Linked DNA regions of Drosophila melanogaster. The protein of the gene in region 1 interacts with the protein of each later gene in a pairwise test. Each region holds a gene or a part of one and is shown on either strand. Other genes may lie near its edges. The genes, in order: CG14692, CG11164 and CG2200.

Evidence for each region.
Region 2: the proteins of CG14692 (region 1) and CG11164 interact in a two-hybrid assay, tested with the Drosophila melanogaster proteins (one large-scale study listed by BioGRID).
Region 3: the proteins of CG14692 (region 1) and CG2200 interact in a two-hybrid assay, tested with the Drosophila melanogaster proteins (one large-scale study listed by BioGRID).

The regions. Positions count from the first base shown.
Region 1 is NT_033777.3:10,799,515-10,807,350, forward strand, and holds the start of CG14692 (uncharacterized protein), read right to left. Parts: upstream 4,442-7,836; 5' UTR 4,396-4,441; coding exon 3,189-4,395; intron 3,091-3,188; coding exon 2,401-3,090; intron 2,343-2,400; coding exon 2,226-2,342; intron 2,168-2,225; coding exon 1,754-2,167; intron 1,700-1,753; coding exon 1,601-1,699; intron 1,549-1,600; coding exon 1,426-1,548; intron 1,366-1,425; coding exon 1,090-1,365; intron 1,022-1,089; coding exon 962-1,021; intron 899-961; coding exon 662-898; intron 595-661; coding exon 556-594; intron 489-555; coding exon 1-488.
Region 2 is NC_004354.4:13,666,272-13,673,219, forward strand, and holds CG11164 (uncharacterized protein), read left to right. Parts: upstream 1-1,742; 5' UTR 1,743-1,815; coding exon 1,816-2,176; intron 2,177-2,248; coding exon 2,249-2,910; 3' UTR 2,911-3,302; downstream 3,303-6,948. Other genes in the region: DNAlig4 (DNA ligase 4), read right to left, coding at 1-865, 925-1,089, 1,157-1,469; CG15760 (uncharacterized protein), read left to right, coding at 4,289-4,378, 5,030-5,175, 5,965-6,157, 6,216-6,909.
Region 3 is NC_004354.4:13,091,741-13,098,332, forward strand, and holds CG2200 (uncharacterized protein), read left to right. Parts: upstream 1-2,558; 5' UTR 2,559-2,832; coding exon 2,833-2,933; intron 2,934-3,032; coding exon 3,033-3,593; intron 3,594-3,704; coding exon 3,705-3,765; 3' UTR 3,766-3,992; downstream 3,993-6,592. Other genes in the region: lic (licorne), read left to right, coding at 1-262, 349-481, 544-746, 1,420-1,638; Chpf (chondroitin polymerizing factor), read right to left, coding at 5,078-5,415, 5,483-5,978, 6,041-6,592. UniProt on the Drosophila melanogaster protein: Hydrolyzes dipeptides containing N-terminal aspartate residues.

The DNA.
Region 1 (7,836 bases):
ATTTTCAACAAGTGAAGTTGAATTTTCTTTTTCTGATGAAGGTCTTTCATTAAGTGATGTTGATTTTTCTTTTTCTGATGAAGGTTTTTCATCAAGTGAAGTTGACTTTTCTTTTTCTGATGAAGATTTTTCATCAAGTGAAGTTGACTTTTCTGTTCCTGATGAAGGTTTTTCATCAAGTGATGTTGACTCTTTTTCTGGTGAAGGTTTTTCATCAAGTGAAGTTGAATTTTCTTTTTCTGATGAAGGGGTTTCATCAAGTGAAGTTGACTTTTCTTTTTCTGATGAAGGTTTTTCATCAAGTGAAGTTGACTTTTCTTTTTCTGATGAAGATTTTTCATCAAGTGATGTTGACTTTTCTGTTCCTGATGAAGGTTTTTCATCAAGTGATGTTGACTCTTTTTCTGGTAAGGGGTTTTCATCAAGTGAAGTTGAATTTTCTTTTTCTGATGAAGGCAGGTTTTCAAGTAAAGTTGACCGGTCGTTTTCTGCTAAGTATATATGGATTTTGATTGAACTGTTGAATTGTAAACAAATACTATTATATTAAATTACCTGTGATATCAATAATTTCTTCAACAGCTCTGTTTTCGTCTTGAAAAATAAAATAAAACCATCTTATTTCATAATCTATGTCAACGAAAAATGTATACGTATGTACCTCCTGCATCCTCTAAAGATTCCTTCGATTTTCCTGAAATTTTGCGATCTTCAGCGTGCAAAGACTCCGATTTGGTTGGACTAGTTTTTTCCTCCGATTGTTCAAATACAGTTTTCAATTGCCCAATCTCACCTTCTAGTTTCATATTTTCGACTTGATCAGAGTCCAGATTGGTTGAAGCCATTTCTTCTCGATTTTCAACATGTTTCGTTTCAGATTCCCTAATTGATATATCACCTACATTTAGATATATAAATATAAGAATGTGTTATTCCAAGAACTATATTAAAAGTTAGTTACCATCAATAACAGAGAGTTCTGCGCTAGCTGCTGTGTTCTGAATATCATTATCATCTATTCCTTTTAAGTTAAAAAACAATATTGTTAAGTTATTATTCTTCATTTGTTCGAACTAGAGATTCACTTACCTGAGGATGTAACAGAAATGTGAGAAGCCAATAAATGTTTTTCGTTTTTCAAATCAGTTTTTTCAGTAATGTCATCAACATTTTGTGATTCATTGTTATTTTCTTCGGAATTAGTTTTACTGAAAAGGCTGTTTTTATCGTTTTTATCTGTAGACAACAATCCCTTAGTTTCTAAACTTTCGGGTTCTATTGGAGTGACTTCCTCTTGTGTCAGCATTTTTATTTTATCCTTTAAGTTTTCTAGTTCTTTTGGGGAGTCATCAGATTGAGGTTTATCTTAAAATTGCACAAGAAAGGGATAAAAATAATTATCAAATATTTAATAAGTTTACGTACCCGTTTCTTCAACATTTTCTTTAATGTTTTGTTTGGACAAATCAGTTTCGGAATGTATTATATCTTCAAGGACCTCTTTCGTTGTCTCTAATTCATCAATTGATTTTGATTCTTTCTTTGCTTCTATAAATGTTTGTTTTGTGTGATTAATATTTTACAATATTTTTTAACTTACCTGGCATCTTTGAATCCTCTGCTAAGCTTGAAGTACTATCTTTAACAATTTTATCTTCAGATGGTAAATCCTCCATTCGTTCTTGTTTATTTTCCGATACTAATGTAAAATGTGTTGGTCAATATAAGAAATATAAATCATTTTAATATTTACCAGTTTTAAGCACTTTGCTCAACGTTATTTCATGATTTGATAACTCAACGGTTTCATCTAATGGCTCTTCTTTATTCATCTCTAATTTTTCAGTGCTGCCGGAAACTTCATCATCTTTTGTATTTGGTGTTGTTTTCGGCACATCTTCCACTTTAGGTATTATTTCCGGTTTTCTATCCAACTCCAGTGTCTGGTCATTGTTTATCTTAAGTTGTTCCTGATCAATTGGGCTTTCGGCAATCAACACATTCTGAGAATCCGAATTCAATTGAACATTGTCTTCATATTCAATACTTCTCTTTTCTCTAATCTTTTCATGTGTGTCTGAAGACTGTATCATCTCATTTGAATCTATATCTTGCTTTGCTGCAGCTGCTTCAAAATTTATGTCGACTATAGTTTCAGCAGATGTTTCTAAATAGGTGTTTCTAAATGTAATTTAAATTATGTATTAAATTATTATCTTGCGTACCTTGCTCACAACCTTCTAGATTATGATTAATAAGAATGCTTTTCAAGCTATCTACTTCTACGTTGGGGATACTTTTAGGCTCTTCGGTAACAGATATCCCTTCAGTTAGATCATCAGCTAAATATATAGTTAGAACTTATTAAATCTTGATTACAAATGTAATAAGTGTACATACCTTTAGAATCATTGGGACTTGCGGATGAATCTTCCAAAATGTCTTCAACATGCTCAATTTCAATTGAAACTGTGGGAGTAATTTTATTTTTAAGTGAAATTTCCTGTAATTGGCTTTTAGAATTTTGAATTTTAGGCAGCGGAATTATTTCATCTTCTTTTTCGACATTTCTCGCATTATTAGATGAAGCGATAGCTGATTCCACAATATTTTCTTGTACATCTTCACTTTCTTTTTTCTCAGTGTTTCTATGCAATGCGCTGTCTTCTTCGCGATTTTCTCTAAGAAGATCACTGCTTGAGTCTTCAGCTTTAATTGCATCATCTAAGTCGTTTGCAAGTGGTTTATCTTTAGAGTCCACATGAGTTTCCTGTTCTGCGTCCAAGCTTTTATTCGATTTTAATTGATCCTCGCTTGCCGACTTATAGTCTTTACTTTTATTTTCAGCTTTCACCTCGACTTGAGATAGCGTTTCCAGATCTAGACTTGTTTTATTATCAACTATAAGTTCCGATTCAGAATCTTGAATAGTTTTCTTCTCATCAGTAATGTGCTCTTCAAGTTTAGCCGGTTGATGCTCGTTCACCTCTAACTCAACATCGATTTCTTTTGATTCGTTATTTAAATCCTTGATGTTTTGCAAATCAGGTTTGCAAATCATGCTTTCAATTAGGGCGCCGCTAAGAATTTCTGAAAAATTGTTACGTTTTATTAGATTACAACACGAAAATAAATAGTAACTTCTTCCTAAAGAATGAAATTTAATGGGAAAACATTAGCATAATTACCACTTTTCCGTAAATTTATCGACTTTTGTTCGCCCTTAATGGTTTCCGCAAAATACTCCTTCCTAAGGCCGGCATCAACGTTACTGTTCTCCACTTCTTCGTCCTCGTGAATTATTTTTTGATGGACTCGTTCCTCGAAGTTCGCCATTCCCAGTTCGGTGGATTCCGTTGAGAGCAGTGCGGTGGAAACGGATGTGTAGGATCCCGTCTCGGAGGCATTGTCATTGAGTTCCTCGGCTTGATCTGTCCCGATGGATGTGGTTCTTTTGGCCTTATGTCGTGCCACCATTCGCCGGTAGGCTCTTTGGATTATGATGGCTGCTGTTGCTAAGGATACTGGGCCATGTTTCAATCGATTTTGTTCCTGCTTCTTTTTCAAATATATGCGATAATGTCGTTGAATGACGACAACGGCTTTCATATAGTCGGCAGCTTTGGGTTTAGCATCGGCTTTTTGTGCGTCACGTGAATTTTTAAGTTCTGCCACTCGCTTTTTGGCCAAATAGCGACGCACCTGCCGTTGAATCAGGAGAATAGCTGCCACATAGTCCACGCTATTGCATTTATCCTTATCGCGACCTATTTTCCGCTCGTTGAGATATCGTCGAAAATGCCTTTGAATGATGACGACCGATTGTATGTAGCTAATTCTGCTGGAAAATTCTCGCTGATCGGCTTCGGCTAATTTGTTGTCTGTATATACGGATGCAGTGTTTTCCACATCCTTTCTATTCGCACTCAGTACTCGACCACACTCACAGGTTACTTTCGTTGCAGGAGCTAGGTGTTCTTTGTCCTTCAATGACTTTTCATAGGACGAGTACTTGCTGTACTCAATTCGACCCGACTTTTCCTTGGACATCCGCTGAAAGTACTCCTGTGCAAATATGTATATATTGTCCGGTTTTTCTCTCAAAACTGCTTTTATAAACTGTTTAATGAGGTCGGTGAGTTTTTCTGGTATTATATTAAACACCATGGACAGAGGAACTTGCTGACGTATGCGGTTTTTCATGATGGTTTCGTAAGTTTGTACCGGTTCGTATTTTCGCACCGATTGATGTGATTTTTCACCGACAATCATGTTGAAAAAGCTGGCCGAAAAGCCATACAAGTCAGCCGGCTTTTCACGTAACACCTCCTTGGTATAGACCTTCATTAGGTCCCGCAGTCCCTCGGGAACTCTTGGTAAACTCGCAGTCGTCATTTTGGTAACTCAGGCACCTTGCATGGGAAAATGTTGAATCAATACTGACCAACGAAGGTGTCCGAATGTCAATGGAAACCTCGATGGCTGGCAGTTGCCATGTCAACACCCTGGGTGCCAAAACATATCACCAGCTGACGTCGCTCCAACTTGTTGCGCCGACAAGGAATTATAAATGAAGTATAGGGTTTATTCTTGGATTCTATATATATATATATATATATATGATCAGTAATGACCCTTAATAACTGGAGTGTGACGCGGATTCTTACCAATAAATATTTTAAGATGTTATTACCTGAACCAAAAATGGTATATAGTGACATATTCACATACAAAACCACATAACGTAGAGTAAACATATTGAAAAGCCGCATACGTAAACAATAAGTGACCACCATGCTAATGTGGATCAAATAACAAAAATATCCACTCTGCATTTTGACACCCCCATACTGTATGCCATCTGCGCAGTATGCATTCTAATAAACAAATTCTTTGACAGCGGCACTTAGCCATTCTTGTAAACAAATCTTAAAGTCTGCCTGCTCTCTCTGAGGCTTCTCCTCCACTTAAGAATCCAAAAGCAATGCTCTCCCAAAAACACTAACATATTCTTTAAGCAAGCACAGAGGCTTCTCCTCATTTTCACTTTCATTTGATTTTTAGTCTTAAGCTGAACGTTAATCAATAAACAACAAAATCGATCCCGAAATTTTGATTCGTTTTATTTTGGCAAAACTTAATTTTCAGCGTTGGTCTTAGTTCATATTCGGAACGGTCCATTTAATAGACTCAAAACTATTTATTGCAACCATTTATTTGCAATTGGCGCAGTCGATGTGATCAGTGTTAAAGTTCCTTGATGCGGTAACCAGATTTGCCAATTCCTGTGTTCTTTTTGTTCTCTGACAAAAGTACCACGCTAACGGGCACCCACGTGACGGTTAATATCGCTTTAAGTTTTTAATTAAACCTCGACAATAAAGTGAAACCGAAAAATCACAATTTGCCTAAACAAACCTGAATTTATTATCAGGAAGACGCTATTGAATTTGTGAGAGGCTGTAAATCCAATTGGTTACCTCAAAGACCCACGAAAAAGCTATAGTGCAACCCTTGTGAAAATCAAAACCTATCTTAAAAAAAAAAAAAAAAAAATATAAATAATAAATTAATAAGCGAAAATTAAAACGTATTAAAAGTAAGAATAATAAATAAATAAGTGAAAATTCTATATGATAAAAATTAAAAATAAGAATAATAAATAAAAAGACAACATTTTAAATTAAACAATATTAAAAAAATATAAAAATATTAAAAACTATATTAAAAAAAAAAAAAAAAAAAACAAAAAAAAAATACACGATAATAATAATATAATAACTAAATAATAATAATAATAAAAAAAAAAAATAAATAAAAAAAATAAATAAATAATCCAAAAATCAAAAATGGCTCAAGAACCAGCAATTGTGCCACCACTATCAGACAGCAACATGACCCAGGTTGCCTACCAGATTGGCAATGTGGAGAAATTCAACGGTGATCCAGGCTCACTATACACCTTTGTGAGTCGAATTGATTACATACTGGCTCTTTATGCTACCGGAGATGAACGCCAACAGCAGATCATATTTGGGCATATTGAACGCAGCATCAGCGGAGAAGTTATGCGCTGCATTGGAGCCTATGACATGTACACCTGGCAGCAGCTTAGAAGACAATTGGTACTCAACTATAAACCCCAGACCCCTAACCACGTTCTTTTAGAAGAGTTTCGAAAGACCCCATTTCGAGGCAATGTACGAGCATTCCTGGAAGAAGCAGAAAGCCGCAGACAAACACTTACTAGTAAGCTTGAATTAGAGCAAGATCTTGAAGAAAAGACTTTTTATTTGAAATTAATAAAATCCAGTATAGAATCACTAATTGAAAAATTACCTACACACATTTATTTAAGAATAAATAACCACAACATACCAGATTTGCGATCACTTATAAACCTTTTACAAGAGAAGGGCATGTACGAACAAATAAATCATACAAGTACACATGTCCAAAAACAAAATTTCTCTGATAAGCCACAAAAGTCCTTTAATCAAAATACTAATCAGTCTAACAATATCAGAAAATATCCAACACCTTTCCTACATTATAATTCACCAATACCATATCAAGCTCCACAAATTTATCAAACACCACCAACTAATAACCCACTTTATCGTCATCCAATACCCTACCACCCTAATCCAAACAATGTTTTCCAACCAAGCCAACAAAACAATGCTTTTCAACCAAATCAACGTACAAACTTTACATCTCGACCAATTTTTAACACCAATCGAAACAATGCATTCGATCAGAATAGGTTCGGACAACAACCCCAATATCAAAATCAACAATCAACACAAAATTCAAGTTCCTATGTACCCAATCGACCAATAAAACGATTAAGACCAGCTAATAGTGGACAGACTGGGATGAGTGTTGACGAAACATTATATCAAGAGGACGCTTTTTATCAGCAGTGTGTTCCATATGACTATTTTTATTATCCAACTTACGACCATTCAGACTATTATCCAGAAAATCAATATCAAATTGACGAAAACAACCAAAATTTACAAAGAACACAACAGTTACAGCAGATTAATACAGACGAGACAAACAATGACAACCAAGAACCCAATGTTGAACAGGCCGAAAATTTTCAGCCACAAGCCTTGGAAAACCCCAATATATAACAATTAAATACAAAGAAAATAATTTGAAATGCCTTATTGATACCGGATCAACAGTTAACATGACATCTAAAAATATATTTGATTTACCAATCCAGAATACTAGTACTTTTATTCATACCAGCAATGGACCGCTCATTGTCAACAAAAGTATAATCATACCTTCAAAGATTTTGTTCCCAACAACAAATGAATTTTTATTGCACCCTTTCTCTGAGAATTACGATCTTTTATTAGGAAGAAAACTTTTAGCAGAAGCAAAAGCAACAATAAGTTACCGCGATCAAGAGGTAACTCTTTACAACAACAAATACAAATTAATAGAAGGAATAGCAACACATGAACAGAGTCATTTTCAAATTGTAAATATGATACCTGACACCATGCTCAGACAGCCAAATAAAATTTCACCCATTTTAGAATCAGACCTATACAGATTGGAACATTTAAATAATGAAGAAAAACAAAGATTGTGCGCACTCCTGCAGCAATACCATGACATACAGTACCATGAAGGTGATAAGTTGACATTTACTAATCAAACCAAACATACTATCAATACAAAGCACAATCTACCACTTTACTCTAAATACAGTTACCCACAGGCTTATGAACAGGAGGTCGAAAGCCAAATACAAGATATGCTAAATCAAGGTATTATACGTACCAGTAATTCACCTTACAATAGCCCCATCTG
Region 2 (6,948 bases), on another chromosome or scaffold:
TGATATCTTGATCCCTGCTTCTTTAGCACAATGCCCTCGGCGTGGGAGTCGAGTGCCTGCTGGAACAGCTCGTTGAACTCTTGAACGGAACCGATTTTGCGTGCACGCATCAACTGCAGCACACCCGACTGTTCAACTATGAGTTTCTGCAATTTGTACGCCCGCTGAATGTAGGTATGGTCCAGCAGACTCTGGCCATTAAAATATAGCAGATCGTACACCACGAAACATGGCTGCCAGCTGCCCTCCGGCTTCAGGCTCTTCACGTCCGTATTCTCGCCTTTTTCCCGAAAGCGCAGTTTGTTGGTATCCCACACCATCATCTCGCCGTCGAGTATGATAGACTCCAGACCCAGCGGCAGAAGTCCCCTCAGCTTTGGCGTTAAGGTGCCGTGATCGTAGCTGTGACCAAAGTTTCTGGTGTAGTCCACTCCATTGCGGGAAATGTACATGAAACGACCCCGATCGATGTGCAGCTGAAAGCGTTCGCCATCCATTTTGGTCTCCAGATAGAGCACATCCGACTGCATCAGCTCCTGGATGTCACCGGGGAATCGTTCGCACAGCATGGGACGTATCTGGTGGAATGGCCGTATGACGGAATTCAGGTTTACAAACTTGACCGCCGCCTTGCTGTCCTTGCTGCTGCTGGCGTCTAGGTCGGTGGTTCGGTCTGCCAGCAGATTGCACACATGTCCCAGATCGGAGCAGCGCTGGTAGATATCCTGCGCCTTGGGGTGCAGCACACCGAAAATCTTTTGCTCACCGATCCCCAGCCCGAGGCTCTTAAGCAGCAACCGAATTAGCCACTTCTGTTCCTCAGGCGAGGCCTGCTCCGTAAACCGGATGAGTTGCTGCTGCTTAACTGCAAAGAGCGGTCTCATTAAGACGTTCAGTCGTTCAGATCAGTTTAAAAGCGCCCACCTTCTGTGTCCTCGTTGGCAATGGTGTCCAGCATCTGATGGATTTCTTTCAGTCTCAAATTGCTGGGCGGATTAAAGCACCTTGGCTTAAGCACGGAATAAACAACATCACCGTAGTCCCGGTACATGTTTCCGTTGCGGTGCTGCAGCCTGATGGCATCGCTGGCTAGTAGAGACAACAAAGAGATTCTAAATAAGCCTAAATGCCATTGCCAATACGTTTCTGCACTCACAGTCCGTGGGTAGCTGGAGCACCCTGATGTAGAGCCTGCCCAGCGCGGTGATCTGCAATCCATAGGTATCCCGACCAGTGTCCGCACCCGGAAGCAGCAGTCGCAGCACGGAATAGAAGCTACTGGCACCGTCCTCCGGCTGGTCGTTGTTTAATCCGGTTTGCCGGCGAAAGGATTCGCGGTGGCGACAGAAGGACTCGTAGTAGCTCTTGAGGACCTCCTCCTTGTTAGCCACCTTTTGCGTGGCCTTAATCTTCTCGAACAGGCTGCAAATATCCCGGAACTTGATCGTGCTGGCTATATCTACGCTCATTTTGTTGTTTAAAAACAATATACTGTTGTAAACAATTTCATCACTGTGAACATCTGTTCAAGCAATGTGACCGCGCTTCTCAATCAAAGTTAATACCCATTTTAGACTAGTTGCAATATTAAGATGCGGACGTTAGTGGCAGAGATTATTTAATTTTTAAGCTCTTCTATTTGGCATAAAATAGATAAAATAGTTTATAGGAACAAGTTAAAATTAGCAGACTATATAAAATACCAAAATTAATCGATAGACTTCTATCAATAACCAAAAAGGCGGCAAATCGTTTGTTTTGGTTCGGTCCACAGTTATTGACTTTTGCTTCACGCTTGGCAAGTTATTCGAGAAAATGGGCAAAAAGGAAACGCGAGCGAGAAAACCAAAAGCTGATCCGGATGCGGAGGGATCTGCCAAGATGTGCAAGGCCTCGGCACTGAAGAAGGTGTTCTTCATGTCGGAGGAACTGCTGCCCAAAGATGCGGACGACGGACACCTTCGGCTGGAGATGTTTTTCCATCCCGGACATGGCAAGGAGGCACTGTTCATAACCCATCCCGATGGCAGAATGATGGAGCTGGTGGCGTTCACGGAACCCCGACGCAGTTGGTTCGTGGACAGCGAGGTCTGCTCCAACGGCAGAATCTACATGACCGCGCCCGTGGATCCCACGTTCCTGGCTCTTCATCACCTCCGAAAACATTGTGCGCAAAGTAAGATATTATCATTCGCTTTCGATGGTATACTATACTATTGTATTCTTGAAAATCTTTAACCACAATCAGGAGCAATATCGCTGGACAACATTGCCGTGGAGGAGGCCAGCACCAGTCGTCTGCTTAACGAGATCCTCGACCCAGGGAACCTTAAATGCGTGGCAGATGTGAAGAGCTCTGGCGAACAGAAGTTCTACAAGTACAACCAAGAGCGCACATTGGCTTGGTTGGCTCTGAAGACGCGCCAGGTGGCGAAGATCCTGAAGGAGAAGCAAGTCCACTGCGGCCACAGTGCGCAGTCGCAGAATTTCGTGCGAAGCGAGAAACTGGTAGCTGAGAACGTTAGCAACGAAATGGACTACACGCGCATGGCTTGCGATTATGTGGGACGGTATTTGGATGCGGATCTGCACGGCTTGCTCACCAGTTACCTGCACATTCCTAGCGAGATTCAGGCGATTGTTGAGGAGAAAGCAGCTTCTCAGAAGCGCAAGTCGGTGGCGGGCAAGAACGAGGGCAGCGACTCCAAGAAGATCAAGCTAAATGAGAGCGATGCTGCTGCCAAGCTAAAGTCCAGCGGTCTAGTGGACAGCGATGGCGATCCCAATGCCACCATCACATCGCCCACAGCGGCGCCTCTGAAGGAGCGCTCGCTGACCGCCAAGGAGAAGGCCCTGGCCAAAGGAGCCAAGGGCACTAAAAGCATCGCATCGTTTTTCAAAGCGAAGTAGATTAACGTTTCACAGATCTTAAGAATAGGTTTTAACTCCTTATTTTATATATATACTCTATTTAATACAAATGTACACTTTTTTTTACAATGAATATAGTACTTTAAAGAATTACTTTTGTTATTTTAAGATTTGTATTCATAAATTTGGTATTTTGAAAGTGCGCCTTTTTGGCGCATGCGCTGTTTGATCATCTCTCTTGATTCCGTTTGGTAAATCCCCATCAGCTGTTGGCGTTGCCAGGCTTCTAAGGAATTGGTTTACTTAGAGGCTTCAGTGCCAAATGTTGCGAATAAAGAGTTTCTTAGTCGACATATTTTTTTAGGTATACCATATAAGCATATTAAGTAATGCTAATTAAACATATGAAATCAGAGTATACTAATAAAACTAACTAGAAACGAAATTAATTTTTGGGGATTCATGCAACACATATGATTTCAATCCTTAGTTCATTGCGCGGGGTGGCAATCCTGGCCGTCAGTTACAAAGCTGCTGGCTCCTTTGTTTCCGTTTTTGTCGCTCAGTTGTTGCTGTGCGCGCTCCCACGTTCGAGGCTAACGGTGAATTCCGCTTTGCGCCTTGATTCGCATTTCGCCACCCCCGTTACCCATTCGCCCGCAACCGAATATCCTGCTACTCCTGCTCTTGTTGTTGTTGTTGTTTTCTATATGCCTTGAATTTTCGGAACAACAATTACAGGGGTTACATTAGTGAATTTTCCCGTTAGCCGTGTGTCCCAAAGCCAGTGCTCAAGTTTAAATTGTGAAAGGCAGAGAAAGGAAAAGAGTGGCGTCACACGAAAGAAAATTTTCTTTGGCGTCGTCGAGGTGTTTGTGCCTTAGTGTGTGTGTATGTGTGTGTGCGAATGTGTTGTGGTTGGTGTGGCATAAGATAAATAATACAATGCAGCACTCAGTTAGCAACAAATTCTCTCTTCTCTGCAGCAGCAGCAACAACAACGGCAGCAACACCAACAATCGCAACGCAACGCACAAAAGCATGCTACGGTAAATTGCATTTGGCGTCTGTCAAGGACAAAACAAAGCGCTGTTTGTGTGAGTCCGACCACAACAACAATAGCAACAACAGCATGTGGTACAAATAACGGAACTGCAAAGTATCAACAGCAAAAGAAGCAAGTAGAAAGCCAGATAGGAAAGCAAAACAAAAGACAGGAACAAATCGCACACGAGGGCCAAAACGGACACAAAACGGAGGCTGCGACAAGAAGAAAGCGAAGAATCGAAGAAAATAAGGGAGAGGCACACACTCCCCGCACCTCCTCCCCTCACCAGCCCCGTAGGACATTTGGCGCCAGTCCGAGCAGCAACTGCGACAGCGGCGTCGACTGAGGCAGCGTCAGCGGCTGAGAAAGATGTGGCTCCGTCCCTCTCCCTCGCACACAAACGCGCTGCAGTGTCTCCTGCTCTCCTTGTTCCTCCTTTTGGGGCTGCTGCCAGCGAACGTAAGTGCCCTTCATTTCATCAATGTTGCAAGCACTCAAACTAGCATAATAACCGAAAAACAACGAAATGTTATGCTGTAGTTAATTTTTAAGCGCATTTTACACATGTAAATTGTCAAGGTGATAAAAATCGCTTGTGAATTCATTTAAAACAAGACACTATACGTTTCACTGCATGCTTTTGGGAACCTTTGTATGTGCGAGCAATTTAAACTTTGGTTTTCAACACTGTAATATTTTGATTAAATACAATTATTGTGCGCTTGTTGCAATTTGGGCCCACGAAACGCCTTAAAAAAAGATAACAGCTAATCTTTGTAAAAAGTTTTTTAAATAAACGCAAGCGCATCCATGTTGCATGCACATTTGAATTTTAAATTGATTGCGATTGCTTTCCCAACGGTAATAAATGCATAGCACACAAACATAAATATGAGCACAAGAACAAGGGCGCAGTACAGTGGTCGCTCGCTATACAAAAACACCACAAAAATAACAAGCTGTTGTTTATATTCTTTATTTATTGGCAATGACAATTTCAAAGGTGTATCGACAAAAAGTGGAATACATTATTTTTTATCATAAAAAATGTGCAAATATTTCTCATGATTAAACGAATAATATATGCAATGTCTTGTTCCATTTTCCCAGGTGTCTGCCAGATTTTGCGAGGGCTGCACTCAGGGCTGTTGCACCCAGGGCTGCTGTCCGCCGTACCAGGGCGGGCCACGCCCCCTTCCGCCCTCCTCGGACTCGCATGTTCTCAATCTGTTCTTCGCCACCCACTGGTTTTTCTGGTGAGTAGTGTTGACCCGGAGAAACTCCTCCTTTTGGAAACTTCTCTGTCTATCTAACTTATCTATTCGAAATTGTAAAATAATAGGAATCTTTCGGAGACAGTGATTCTTTTAATTGCGCAAAGTAGAAGTGATTTATTTAGCTACTGCGATGGTCACGGTCATCATGAATTGCACTGTTTTTGTTTTTGTGTTTGGGGATTCCCCGGAGGTCGTCTGCAAGGCCGTTCAATGAGGCGGGTTTTTGGGGCGTTGGAATGGTGGGATGGATTGGATGGCGTGGGTTTTCAGTGTGCTCTGGCCGGACTTCCAGCTGATTGGCATTGTGTGCCATGCGAGAGATATTATTATTATTGGCAGAAAAGGTGGCGCCCAGCGACGGGGTTGCGTCAAGTCAAATGTCGAGTCAAGTCGAGAGGCTTATGCAAGCTGTACCCCCGTGCTATGCCACCACTACCATCAGTGCGACCAGCACATAGTACCGACCACCTCCCTTGGGGGCTGTGGAAATGGCAATGCCAACTAATGAGACACAAACGGAACCCGCACACCGCCACCCAGCTCATATAATCCCATCTCTTGGCCATCGAAAAGGCAAACAAATTTCAGTCGGAATTCGATTACGGGAACAGCAGGACACGGATCCGGATCCGTATCCGCACCCACATCCGCATCCACTACTCCAATGGGCTTCTTCATTCAGTCGCGCCAGCTGCAAACCGAGCAGTGAATAACGATCCTCACTTTGATATTACAAAGATTGATTGAAAATCTATATTCTTATTGCAGGTGCGTGGTTGTGGCCATCATCTTGGCCATCCTGTGTGCCTACTCACTATGGAAGAAGCGGCGGACACTATGCGGCTGGGGATTCAATGAGCACCACACCCAATCCGAGGGCGATTCCGCCGGCTCCTGCTATGCACCACCACAATATAGTCGCTGCAACTCGTTTCACCATCCGCCGCCGCCATATACGGAGGTAATGTAATCATATACATGACCGGAATCGATTCGCTTAACAATTTCCATCTTCTCAGGTGACCTCCAAGCCGGATCTGTATCCACTTGTCTTCACCTGCAACAGCGATTCGGGCAATGGCAAGGGCAACGGCAGCTCCAGCTACCTGATGGTGCAGTACTTCCGGAACTACATCGTCCGTCCGGCTGCCGGGGGATCCCTGAGTGCGGCCAGCACCGTCGACTCCCTAAGCTCCAGCTTCATTTGCAATGCGAATGAGGCGAATACCCTGGTGCCACCACCATACTCACGGGCAGCCAGTCCGGAGTTAGGACTGCATCATTATGTGGCCCATGCCCATGCGCATGCCAATGCTAATGTCAATGCCAATGCAAATGCCCATGGACACGGGAATGGCCATCTGAGATCTGTGGAACAACAGGCGCCATCGCATCAGGTGCCAAATGCTCCGCTGGCATCTGTGCACTACGCCATGCCGAGATCGGCATCCCAGCTGGTGGAAACGGATGCCTATCAGCCGAGACTGATGCCCGCCCAGACGCAGGCCCAGCATTATGCCACCGTGGCACTGGGCAGTGCACCGGGCGGAGCAGCGCTCTACAGCACGCGGCTGCATGCATCTCACGAGGAGGGAGTTGGCGTGGGCGTTGGTGTGGGCTACCTTCAGTCCCAGAGTGATCAGCACTTCCGGTATATGGCGAATAGCAGCAGCAGTCTCAGCGACATCTTTGTGAACAACAGCTGTGTGGCAGGTGGGTATTGTGATAAGGAATTTCCTATTAAAATACTTA
Region 3 (6,592 bases), on another chromosome or scaffold:
GCGCCATAAGCAAACCGATACGGTCCTGGCCGTCAAACGCATACCCATGACCGTAAATATTCGAGAACAGCACCGCCTTGTAATGGATTTGGACATATCGATGAGATCCAGCGACTGCCCCTACACCGTCCACTTTTATGGTGCGATGTATCGCGAGGGCGATGTCTGGATTTGCATGGAGGTGATGAGCACCAGCCTGGACAAGTTCTATCCGAAGGTCTTCCTTCACGATCTGCGAATGGAGGAAAGCGTGCTGGGCAAGGTCAGCTGGGGAGGATTGGGGGCGGGTCTAATCTTATCGGGCAATCGCCACTATACTATTACCGTACTACTGCCTTTGCTTTACAGATTGCCATGAGCGTGGTCAGTGCGCTGCACTATCTGCACGCTCAACTGAAAGTCATTCATCGGGACGTCAAGCCCTCGAACATACTGATCAATCGGGCCGGCCAGGTCAAGATCTGTGACTTTGGCATCTCAGGTGGGCTGGCATTCTGTGACTTCTTGCCACTGTAATCATTCTAATATTGGACTGACTTTTAGGCTACCTCGTCGACTCCATTGCCAAAACCATTGATGCCGGTTGCAAGCCGTACATGGCGCCGGAACGGATCGATCCCCAAGGAAATCCGGCGCAATACGACATCAGGTCGGATGTTTGGTCGCTGGGCATCGGCATGATCGAAATGGCCACGGGCCGCTACCCATACGACAATTGGCGAACGCCATTTGAGCAACTGCGTCAGGTGAGTGCCTACCTCTGGCTGGTAACTGTCACAAAGAGGATCTTCAAGATTTTTCCGGACAAAATATGTGTCATTTAGTCAATTTGGGATTTTAGGTCCTAATTATACAAAGGCTACCGATCCGATAATGTATTCCATCTTATCATATATGTAATGAACATTTGGATTTTTCCAATTGTGGTAGCTAAAAGCTTTTAAGAAGGGTGGAATTTCTAAAAATTTGATAATTAATAATCAATTGACACGTTTGATTGGAGCTTATGTTTTTTCACAGATAATCCGTCGAAAATAGTATAAAAATAGTAGTTATAGCCACTCATAATCATATACGAAGCAAATGCTGAGTATTATTATTTCCTGCTAATGATTTTGTTAATATTAATGTCAAGAACCAACTTTCGTTACATAACTTATTGGGGGCTCACAAATAACTATTAAGTAATTTTAATTAAAAATATAACCACTTGTTCTCAAGCACTTTACACGTACAATAAACTCTAAAAAAAACCATTAGTAATGTGCCAAGCTGCTGTGGTTATCAGAATACTAAACAAAACTATTAATAAACATACAGAATGAGGCTTTTATCAGAGGGATTTTGTAACCGATCTAAACCACAAGTTTTCGCATCGTGCGTAATTAAGAACCTATTTTTTTTTTTATTATCTTTTAGGTGGTTGAGGACAGTCCGCCGCGCCTGCCGGAGGGAACATTTTCGCCGGAATTCGAGGACTTCATCGCCGTCTGCCTGCAGAAGGAGTATATGGCAAGGCCCAACTACGAGCAGCTGCTCAAGCACAGCTTCATCGTGGAGCACCTGCAGCGCAACACGGACATCTCGGAGTTCGTGGCCAGGATACTGGATCTGCCCGACGCGCAGCCGGCGCAGTAGGTTAATGGCCGGGTAGCAGGTTAATGGTTAACCCATGGCGCCGCCCCCTTAACCCCTTAAGCCGTGCCCGTGCCCGTGTAAATTGCCGCCGTCTTCTTCTAGCATGCATTTCGTACATGTTGTGTGTGTGTCCCCCGTCTGTGTGACAGCAAAAGGAATAAAACTTTATTTGAATGGAGTCCAAGGAAACCCCAAAAACAAACCCAACAGCAATCAGCAATAAGCGTCAGCTAATCTAAAGATACAAAATGGAAAGTGCATAATTATTAATTTAAGTGAGAGAAGCAACAGCAACATAACCGTTACTAGCAAACCTGCAATATGCATAATGCAACAATCGCCTTGCAACGCTCAAAAATGGATAACCGAACCGTGCCTCCCAGCTGGCGATGCTGCTGATGTCTTGAAGCATAATACCATTTTAATATATATTTTTAAATGAGAATAGCTTAGTCAACGAAAAACAAGAACAGAAGCAAGCAAAGCATTGAATGTAAAAACGTACTAAACTTAAATGATAATTTGTGAACTTTTGAACACCAAAATAGTCGAAAAGAAAGTGTTTATAATTATAATTGTTTAACAAATATATATTACGTAAAATAGCTAAATCCTGTTGTATTTGTATGAGAAATATTCGTTGCAAATGGTGAAAATTCTCAATGTGATTGGTATCACAATCTTAAGAATTTTGTTATTGCCTAAATGGGCAAATAAAACCAAATACTCCAGCTGAAATTCAAAAATTGCGGCCGATTTCAGTGCATCATGAGTGCAACGATGCACCAAATGGAAATCGTAGATATGTATGTACATATATAGATATATGGTATCGATAGCTTTTCATCTGGTATCAGGGTTCCATTGACGTGGAGAACCTTTGCGATTTGCAAGGCATTCCCGCACTACGTGAGTTTCCTATCGATATCGAAGAACTCGCAGATACGCAGAGTATTTACTTTATACAGCTAATGGAGTGGTTAAATTTCTGGAAAATAAACCCCTTTCATGGAATTTCACCCACACCCATGCTTTTCCGGCGCCTTGTGATAAGCTCGCATGGAGGAGTTACTTGCTCCGATATTTCTGGAGCCCATCCCTAGCGGCTGGCCATAAAACCCTGATAATCTTCTGGTCGACTGGCTGAACCATCCAGTGAACCATCCATTGGCCCACGATTAGATTGCTAAAGAAATGGCCAGTGCACGGAACCTATTGTTGCTATCCTCGTCGCGTTTGCACGGCCATGGATACTTGGAGCATGCGCGCGGCCAGCTGGAGGATCTCTTCAAGAGGTAGGTGACTTACCATTTGAGATATGTACATTATTATTCTTTTACAACAAAGTGAATTCTTTCATTGGTAAATTGAACAAACCCTCCGATTCCTTGCAGTGCCAATGTGAAGACCGTGCTCTTTGTGCCCTACGCTCTGCGGGATCACGACAAGTACACTGCCACCGTGCGCGATGCACTGCAGCCGTGGGGATTCAATGTGGAGGGACTGCACACGAAGCCGGATCGCGAGCAGGCATTGCGGGAGGCACAGGCCATCTTTGTGGGCGGCGGCAACACCTTTGTGCTGCTGCGTTCGCTCTACGAGATGAAGTTGCTCGATCCGATTAGGGAACTGGTGCTCCAGCGTGGATTGCCTTACGTGGGCAGCAGTGCGGGCACAAATGTGGCAACTCGATCCATTCACACCACCAACGACATGCCGGTGGCCTATCCGCCGAGCTTTGAGGCACTCGCCCTCGTTCCCTTCAACATCAATCCGCACTATCTGGATCCGGAGGCGGGTAGTCGGCACAAGGGCGAGACGCGAGACGAGCGGCTGGAGGAGTTCGTCGCATACCATGGACTGCCCGTGCTGGGTCTTCGCGAGGGCACCAGTGTCCGGGTTCAGGGCGAGAAGGCCATCCTCCTGGGCGATCGCAATGCCAAGCTGTTCAAGGCGTAAGTACACACTTCCAATCGGACAAATTGGGTTTCATGGTTTCTTACATTCAAATAACTTTAATGTTATTTATACAATTTAAATGTAATTTATTTTCGTTTATTTTTCAGTGACGGTGGCACCGAGGAGCTAGCACCCCTAGCGGATCTCACCTTCCTGCTGCAGAAATAACCAAGCAAAACGATCGAATTAAAGAGAACATTGATGTTTATTGTACATATGCACATTCATAATTTGTTTTATTCTGCAATAACAACAATTCCTACACGTAAGCAGTACACATACAGTAGTTGTACACTATGACTAAATGTATAAAAAGTTTGGATAGAGGTATAACCCCTGACGAGTGTACATATATCTAATAAATTTTGTAATAAATTAATCGGATTTCCCCTCGTAAATCGTAATGATAAGAATTTGACTGGCAGACTTCTTATTCGATGCTAAAACTGATGTGCTGGCAAAATGATCAAATGGATAACATGGATACACTAACAATGGACATCGGCTAAATGAAACTGGCAAGCACTTAAACAATATATATATTTTTTTTTATTTACAATGGGCTTTTTCATTGCCACAAAAGCCCTGATAGCTAGCAATACTTTTGGATTGTTATTTTGTAGGCAAAGTTTCGATAGAATTATGGTTTATGTTTTCAGGCAGCCGATGCTAAGACTTAAGCTCTAACTTTTAAAGAGGAACACGGTCAAAGTAAGCACTCCCCGATTTAGACCAGTTTTTTAACAGTAATTCCTTTTTGTTTTTTGTTTTTTTTTTTGGCACACCGTCTTTGAGAGAGCCCATTTATACAGGGATTGTAACACTTTGAGGCAAGGCGGCATCTGGTTATTTGTCGTACAGCCAAATCGTTCGTTTCACTTAGATTAGTTTAGTTGTATAACACTTAGCTTAACTAGTCGTTTAAATAGGAGTCAATGGTGCAATGCTGCCTGCGTAACTTATTAGGAATCGTTAATAGAGATATGTGGCGTATGCTAAGTATTTACATGCGAAAATCGAATGTCTGTTGAATGGCTCGAACAACAAGTGTCCCACATTTGTCCTACGAGTTTTGGCAGCTAAAACTACGCTACGTTAATAACTAACTAACCAACTAACTAATTGCTGTGTCTACCATTTTTGAGCATTGAAAGTTTCACTTTAAAGCAAGCAACAACGGGAATCGCCTAGGCCCAAAACACTAAGTTCGGATTGAGATAGGTCCACTGCTGGTCTTATACTTGGGTCCCAGTCCCACCATCATTTCATTTATGAATAGGATTTAATTTAAGCCTTGGATGCGAGTATAAGAGTTGGCATGCACACACACACACACACACACGCACACAGGGATCACATTCATTCGTTCAGCTCAATCAATCACACGGTCATGTACACAATGGGAATATCTTAAAAAGGAACTGATGATATTACAGGCAGGAGCTGGAGCTGGAGCTGGAAAGGAGCCTTCGGATCCCAACTATTTGTGTAGAATACTTTTGTCCTCGTAGCGTATTATGGCGTCGCCGATCTGCTTGCGCGACGCCAGGTGGATGCACTGCTCCCGACCGCAGCGTTCCGGCACGCTCTGCGGCAGCGTTCCTCCGCGTGCCAAGTGATTCCGCACATCCTGGCCGAAGCGCAAATTCGGTTCCACTCCGCGCAGTATATGCACCGAGTGCTGTGCCGCCACGAACATATCGAGAATGCTTTCCACGCCCGGTGGTCGCGTCTCCTCGCCAGGCTGCAGCAGCAGCTGGTCGATGTCCAGGTCGCTGCGTATGATCGGCAGTCCCTGCGGATGTAAGAGCTTGCGAGCTGAAGCGGAAGGAGTATGGAGTAAATAAAAGTCCAATTAACTGGAAAAGTTTCCTCCATCACTCACCCTGGACATAATCCCGACTATAGAAAGCGATCACGTCGTGGTTATGGCGATCGAAGTAACCGCTGCTCTGGCTCACGTCGCAGGTGTCGCACTCACGGCAGAAATGCGCCCAGCGGCATGGGTACATCTGGAAGCCGATTGGTGCGTACACCTGGAAGCCCTGTATCGTGTTCATGCGCACGCGATTCAGAAAGTCCGCCTTGAAGACCATGCCTGGCGTGGCCAGCAGCACGAGGGATTCGAGGCCCAGTTTGGGCAGTGCCAGATCCGCAACCACCAGACTGAGAAGCTGGCGTGGTCCATACATGGAGGCGTGCAGCAGCCAGCTCTGCGGATCCACCGGTTCGCTCAGCTGCTCCGGCAGCCGGATGGACACCCAGGCGATCCGAGAGCCATCGGTCTTGTACTTAGATGACAAGTCAAGGGCCAGTGTCTTCAGTGCTTTGAAGGGATCCTCGTCGCCCTTGCTGGGCGACTCCAGTCGGTACATGAAGATCTGAGAGGTAAAATAGTGATTACATTATTCTGCCTTCAAATTGTATATGCTTTCGATCTCACCAGCAACAGGAATGTGTTGTCCTGATTTTGCATACAAATCCTTTCGTACTGTTCCACAAACAGCAGAGCATCCGGCACCTGGTGCTCAAAGGCGGGCACCAACATGGCAATTCTTGTGCTCTCGGTGACGTAGGGCGAGGGCACCACCTCCACGCGACCCAGTGGCTTAACCACCTCGAAGCTCTTGATCACGAGCCGGCGACTGCGACCCGATCCCTCCTGCAGATTGAGATGCAGCTGGTAGTCCATGCCGCGTGTGGCATCGAACTTCCGATAGGCACTGTGCAGACTGTGGTAGCTCAGGCGCGGATGCTTAAGTGCGGCATACTGTAGTGCTATCTCCAGGACTTTGGCAAAGTCCTGTGCCTCGATCCGCGACAGCGTTGCCACCGCATGCTCCGCATTGCCATTGGGCAGAAAGTTGTGCGTCCCATTGAGCAGCTGCCACGTGAGGATGTCGTGACGCGTCTCCGGCGCACTAGGTGGCGGCACGCCCAATGGCCACCGGATCTCGAGAATCTTGTTCGATATACTCCCATTGGCAATCCGGTA